Canis lupus familiaris: one gene and its partner. The protein of the gene in region 2 purifies or fractionates together with the protein of the main gene of each other region. This does not show direct contact. Links are inferred from orthologs where the notes say so. Each region holds a gene or a part of one and is shown on either strand. Other genes may lie near its edges. The genes, in order: KBTBD7 and TEFM.

Evidence for each region.
Region 1: the proteins of TEFM (region 2) and KBTBD7 purify together in Homo sapiens (co-immunoprecipitation; 5 studies listed by BioGRID and IntAct, counting the BioPlex papers as one, with this or other methods). This does not show direct contact. The link is inferred for Canis lupus familiaris from reciprocal best matches to the Homo sapiens genes TEFM and KBTBD7.

Annotation. Positions count from the first base shown.
Region 1 is NC_049243.1:9,372,488-9,376,837, reverse strand, and holds the start of KBTBD7 (kelch repeat and BTB domain-containing protein 7), read right to left. Parts: upstream 2,841-4,350; 5' UTR 2,558-2,840; coding exon 518-2,557; 3' UTR 1-517. UniProt on the Homo sapiens protein: As part of the CUL3(KBTBD6/7) E3 ubiquitin ligase complex functions as a substrate adapter for the RAC1 guanine exchange factor (GEF) TIAM1, mediating its 'Lys-48' ubiquitination and proteasomal degradation.
Region 2 is NC_049230.1:40,837,960-40,840,613, reverse strand, and holds the end of TEFM (transcription elongation factor, mitochondrial), read right to left. Parts: intron 1,428-2,654; coding exon 990-1,427; 3' UTR 789-989; downstream 1-788. UniProt on the Homo sapiens protein: Transcription elongation factor which increases mitochondrial RNA polymerase processivity. Regulates transcription of the mitochondrial genome, including genes important for the oxidative phosphorylation machinery.

The DNA of each region.
Region 1 (4,350 bases), on a different chromosome or scaffold from region 2:
AGTAACTTATAATACTAGAAACTGGCTAGTTCAAAATTTGGGAAATCTACTACTTTCATTATTCTAAAAGAAAATACAACCTTCAAAACCCTACCAACAATTTCTAGTTCAATTTTCTACTATAAAAATTAAAAAGTTAAATTCCTTGTGGCACTAAGTTGAATTAAAACGTTAACAGAAGACAAACGTAGATAATCAAAATATAAACAGTGTAAACTAACCAAAACAATCCACTGGTGCAACAAATACTCGAACAACCAAGAAACCACCAAGCATTCTAATCAGTTACATAGTTTGTTTTTGCATATTTTAATCTTGACTTTTAGCATAATAAATTATCATATAGGTTGATTTCATGGACTGTTTAACTTTGTAACATTACATTAGTAATTCAAATGTTACCCTTTCTAAACCAAATCTGCAGTCCTAATCAACATTTTTTTTTTCATGAAAAGGAAGGGATATCTTTTAAAGATACATTCCATAGAAGTAGAAACATCTTAGTGCTTCAAAATATTTACAAAGAACCCTGATGATCCTGTGCATTTCCCTGAGGTGCCACCTGCACCCAGACTTCATCATCGGAAAAAGAACTTGAACTTCCTGACTCCGAGTCCAGCTCACTGAATCCATCTAAGTCCCATTCAGTACTAGACTCACTCCGTGCATCATCTTCCTCAGTGATAAAACTCTGTCCAGGTTCAAGGCAGGAAGGATAAACACGAGCACAGAGGCAAATAAAGCCAGAGTCAAACTGCAAAAGACCTAACATGGTACCTATATTAATCCACTGGTCTTCCCTAGTATCGTATTCATAAACAGTCACCCGGTTTTTTTTCCACTGAGGGGTGGTAGAAGTAATGAGGAGCAACTTTTGGCCATGATTGACAATCTGGTAGTTGTGGGTCTCTGAGTCCAAGGGGATATTACTAATCCGCCTCCATTCTCCCCTGGCTGGGTTGTAGACCTTCATGACCGGGATGTCGCAGATACAGTAGATCTCATCATTGAAGACACAGGCTTCCTGAAAGTCACTACGTTTAAGAGAAGCACAGTTCAGCCATGTATTGTGGCCCGGGTCATAGTAGAGCATGCGCTTACTGTTCACAGCATAAAGATAGTTCTGAACCACTATTAGTTCAAACGAATAGAAGGAATGGGGTACAGGAGCCACCAGTGCCCACTGGTTTCTCTGGACACTGTAGCACTCCACTTCCTTCAGTTTAACACCGGTAATGGGGTCTCGCCCACCCAAAATGTAGATGTAGCCATTGAGGTAGGCCACATCCATGCCCTCCCGGCACAGCAGGCGGTCGGCCAGCTGCTGCCAACTATTCTGGGCTGGCTTGTACACCCAGAGGTCCTTCCTGGGCTGCGCGGCCAGGTAGATGTCATGGTCTGGAGAGACGCAGACAGCTGAGGAAGTGACAGTCTTGGTGTGAGCCAAGCTGGTTAAAGGGGATGGCATGGTGTAAATGTCCCCTGAGTATGGGTCGTAGCACAGAAAGGGATCTCGGGGATGTCCAAAGAAGATCACCATCTCCTTGGCACACATACCCAGCCTCTGGGGTGGGTTTTCTGCTGTGGGCACAACACAGCTGCTGCTGCTATCTGGTTTGGGCACCAGAGCCTTGCACAGCTTGTCACCATAGCGCATCTGCAGGGCCCCCTCGATAAGGTCCAGACAGTACTTTTTCACAATGGGCTTGGTCAGCAGCCCCTCCAGGTAATCCTGATCCTCTTCTCTGAAGTGTGTCCAGCGGACACACTTGAAGACTTCCGCAGCGCTGGGTCCGCGCTCCTTGGGAGCCGCCTCCAGCCACTGCACGGCCACGTGACACACGGTCCGCTCGCTCTCGATGTCTAGACTATCCAGGCGCAGGATGGACAGCAGCTGGGCCAAGCTCAGATCCGCCAGGCTCTCCTCCCTTACTGAGCCCATCCGGCTGAGCTGCCTGAAATTGTGGGCTATGAAGGACTGGGCCTGGGATCGCAGCTTATGATGGTCGAAGGCGTCGGCGAACTTGAGGATGGCGGTGCAGTTGGCCAGGTCGAGGCGGCGGGCCAGGAAGGAGGCGCAGGCCTCCCGCACGTACTCGAGCTGCAGCATGTCGGAGGCCGCGTACAGGCGCTGCACGTTGGCCTCGCTCAGCGACACGCGGCCCGTGTAGCAGTAGTCGACCAGCACCTCGAAGGACTCGGCGTCCACGTCGTGCATGGTCACGTTCGCCTGGTGGCTCTCGTACATGCCGCCCGTGAACATGCTCTTGAAGTAGGGACACGCGGCCGCCAGCACGTTCCGGTTGCAGGGGAAGAGGCGGCCGGTGCCGGGCCCGCTGCCGGGCGTCACCACCTCGATGGTCACGTCGCACAGCAGCCGCGCGTCGTAGAAGGACTTGAGCTGCGCCAGGAGGGCTGCGGAGTGAGCCGCGTCCTTCAGCTCCTCCGGGCCCGTGAAGAAAGCCGAGACCGAGGGCTTGGAGATCCTCTTGGGCCGCCTGCCGCCGCGGGGACTGGCCAGGCGGCGGGGGCGCGGAGCCTCTTCCCGGGACTGCATGGTGGAGATGGCGGCGGGGTACGAGGGCGAGAACGGGTGCACGGACCGGGCGCGGGCTCCTCCTCGCCCTCTCCTCGCCTTCTCCCTGAAGAGACTGCAGGGGCCGCACTTACCCAACTCAGCCCCGCGCCGCGGTGCCGCCTCCCTTTATCGCGTAGCCAGCGCCTGACTCACCCGCTTCCAGTTCCGCGCCCTTTTCTCCGCCTCAGCTCGCCTTACAGAACCCGGCTGGACGGAACCGAGAGAGCCGCCACTGCCGCGCTGGCAATACCGGTAGGCGTCCAGCGGAACTACGGCTCCCAGGCTGCCTTTCGCGCCCCGAGGCATGCCGGGGCCCCTCCAGACTCCAGGGGATCGGCGGGCGGGCCGGAGCCGCTGTGCACGCTGGGAGTGGTAGTTCGAGGAATATCGCGAGGTTTCTCCGGGCGGGCGGACTTTTAGCTGACAGAATTCGAAAAAGCGTTAATCTGGGTTTGTTGGTTTTAGAGCTTTGGCTTTGATGTTCTTTTTTATTTAAAAAAAAAAAAAATCTCCGTTTTGGTATTGGTCTTCTCTCTGAGAACTTTCCCCTCTTTGTAAAGCGGGGGATACGAGTTTTCATAGGATTATGTGAGAGTGGGAGCGAGGTGGATTTGCGCAGGTCCCAGGATGCTTCAGCGAATACCTGCTGATTAATCACATGCTTGCAAGTGCCTGGAATATACAGATTCAGCCACTGGTGGCGTCTCCCAATGCGTTTTTAAAAATGTGCCCGCGTGCGAAGCCGTGAGCGATTTGTGTGAGGAATCTTAATTTTACTGTTGCTTCTTTTGAAGGGTTCTTCTGAAGGCTACCACCATCTTTTCAGAACTAAATGAGATCCACAGGTTCGTTAGGGTGTCGTGGACAAGGATGAGGTCCTGGCGAACAGCGTTGAGAGGTGGCCTCCGACGTGCGGCTCAGGCCTCCGACGTGCGGCTCAGGCCTCTGACATACAGCTCAGGCCTCTAACAGGCAGCTCAGGCACATGCATAGCTGGGCTGACCTCTCACCAAATCAATATTTACGCAGGGGGAGCAGGATTACTTTCATAAGCTTTTTTTTCTTTTTTTTTAAATTAAGATTTTTATTTACTTATTAGAGAGAGAATGCACAAGCAGGGGAGTGACAGGCAGAGGGGGAGGGAGATTACAGGCTCCCTGCTGATAGGGCCGGATCCCAGGACCCCGGGCAGGCGCCTAACCGGCTGAGCCACCCAGAAGCCCTTTCGTAACCTTTTAGCAGGAATGTTTTGGTCTAATACTGCTCGTTTCCCTTCCTCTCCACAAATCAGCCTAAGATTATGTAGTTATCTTTATCAAGGAGATAAAAACGGGAGTTGTAGATTAAAAGATTTAAACAAACAGACCTCAGAGCTCTGTATTCATGCATGCCCCAGTTTTTTTTTTTTTGTTTTTGTTTTTTTTTTTAAGATTTTATTTATTCATGAGACACACACACACAGAGAGAAGCAGGCTCCATGCAGGAAGCCCAATGTAGGACTCAATCCTGGGTCTCCAGGATCAGGCCCTGGGCCAAAGGCAGCGCTAAACTGCTGAGCCCCCTGGGTTATCCAGTATTTTTTTTTTAAGATTTTATTTATTTATTCATGATAGACATAGAGACACAGGCAGAGGGAGAAGCAGGCTCCATGCAGGGAGCCCGACGCGGGACTCGATCCTGGGACTCCAGTAGGCGCCCTGGGCCAAAGGCAGGCGCTAAACAACCTAGCCACCCAGGGATCTGGACCCCCCCCCCCTTTTTATTAAAGATTT
Region 2 (2,654 bases):
GTAAATGTAGAGATTTACAAGTGAATGACAAGTCCAGACTGTATCCCAGATTCCCTAGCGAGTTGGGAGATGCTAGAAGAGAGGACTTCTACTTATTTTACATGATTATTTGAATGTTCTTCTAACAAGCATATTTCACTTTATAGATTAAAGGAAAAATGTGATGCTTTGACATTAGAGACTTGGGTTTAAGACTGGTAAGATATGAGGGCCTGAACTAATTCAAATGTAGTGGGAAATGTGAGTTAGGAAAAAAAATGCTACTCTTCTCAAAAGATGGTTTATCTAGGAGTGCCTGAATGGTGTAGTCAGTTAAGCCCCTGACTCTTGGTTTTGACTCAGATTGTGATTTCAGAGTCCTAGGGTCAAGCCCCAAGTCAGGATCCATGCCTAACATGGAGTCTGGTTGGGATTCTCTCCCCTAATCTTTAAAAAAAAAAAAAAAAAAAAAAAGTTGGTCTGTCCAAGTAAAATATTTTGAAGTGAAAAAAATGAACCTATTAGACAAAGCTTGTTTGTTCTGGGCCTGATAGAATTAATGAAAATCACCTTTTGGAAGTAGTACATCAAACCACATACTACTTACAGAATTAACAGAATTTCATAAATTGTGTTCCTGATTATATTTAGTGTTATTCCCATGATGAATTCCACCCAGAAAAGTCATTTTCCCTCCTTTAATGATGCGAATCCTTTAGTATAGGATGGAATTAGCTTTTCAGGGGGAATAACTTTCTTGTTTGGTCTGTTTAGGAGACCTCTTACTTTTAACACATAAACCCAAAAGGTTCAGAATCTCTTAAGGTATTTATTGACTTGGCTTATTCTGTGAACAATTCAACAGCTGGAAGTCTGACTTTAAACATCCAAATACAAACATGTTTTCTTCTCCATAAACATGGATGTTAAAAACAGTTGGCTTTATGGCTTTAGAGCTAATAAATATAAATTAATATAACATCAGAGTTCTTTATATTAACCTCAGCATTTTAAGGTTCGGTGTCAAAAACTGCTAATTCATAGAAGGCAACGGCTTGTAATAGGGAATCATATAACTCTTCTGCTCTCTTTTGCTCAGTAGATGAAAACATCTGTCTGTAGCGTACAATCTTCTCCTTAGGGAAGACGACCCGAGGGTCTTCCTTCAGAACAGACTCTGTGAGGAGCTGCTTCACCAGCTCTTTTCCACTAGTCCGTGTGTCCCCAATCATCAGTTCAAAGTGCTTCCCCACTCCATTTCGATTCATGCTCAGCACCCGATGCTGGCCATCCTGGGCAAACGTTTTGTTTAATAAGGCATACAGCATGGCTTCCATGATATGAAAATGTAACAGTAGGGGAAACCGAGATGTGTTCTGAATTGAAAGCCCTATTTTTTCCAGAACGTAGAAGTCAGCTGTAGGTATCTTTGAAATGACTGAAGAAATCTTTAAAAAAAAAAAAGAAAAAAATAAGTGAATAGAAATAATTAAGTTTTGTTGTTTGGGTTCCTTCTCCCATTTCTATTTTTAAAATACATAATGTACATTATACTATTACTGTTTTTGAAAACTGAAAAATAATTTTATGGAGAAGTCAGGACAGCCATGTTCTGCTCATGGTTCTATCTGGAATAAACTGAGCTAAGGCAAATCACTTAGTCCTCCCAAGTACTAGTTTCTTCATCTGTAAAATGGACTTCAAAATTTCTAAAATCTACTGACTTTAAGATTAGACAATTTAAAATGTTTATTAACCTTTTAAAAATATGTAGAGTAGAGCATAGGGTTAGAATAACTAGCCTCCATCAGAGGTGCCTGGGTAGCTCAGTGGGTTGAATGTTTGACTCGATCTCAGCTTGGGTCTTAACCTCAGGGTTGTGAGTTCAAGCCCTATGTTGGGTTCCACGCTGGGTGTGGACCCTACATAAGAAAAAAAATACCTAGCCTACAATCCTGTCAGATGCCCTGATTGATTATACCAGTTTTCATATATGTAATCAGGATGGTAATTACTGCCCATCTCACAAGGTTTTGAAGACTCCAATAAGACAATTAGTGAGCATTCTGAAAAATAAGCTTTGGGGCAGCTACGTGGCTCACTCAGCTAAGCGTCTAACTCTTGATTTCAGCTCAGGTCACGATCTCAGGGTCCTGGAATTGAGCCCCACATTTGCTCTAGGATTCTCTCCCTATCTCCCTACCCCCAACCTTGCTCTGTCTCTCTAAAGTAAATATATATATTTTTTTAAATGAAAAATAAGGGGTGCCTGGGTGGCTCAGTTGGTTGAGCATTTGCCTTCGGCTCAGGTCATGATCTCAGGGTCCTGGGATCAAGCTCCACATCGGGCTGGGCTCCCTACTCAGCAGGGGAGTCTGCTTCTCCCTCTCCCTCTGCCCTTCCTCCTGCACACACATTCTCTCTCTCAAATGAATAAACAAAATCTTTTAAAAAATTTAAAATAAGCTTTATAAATAGAGTGATGAAGTCCTGTAATATTTAGGATAATGTACTTTACCACCAATTTTCTCAGTATCTGCCTTTGATATATTAAGGTATTTCATGAACTAAATGAAGAAGATTCAAATTTTAAAAATCATAGGTGACAGAAAACATGACAGGAATGGGTAATTTAAAAAAAGAAAAAAAGAATGGGTAATAATAACCCAAAGGAA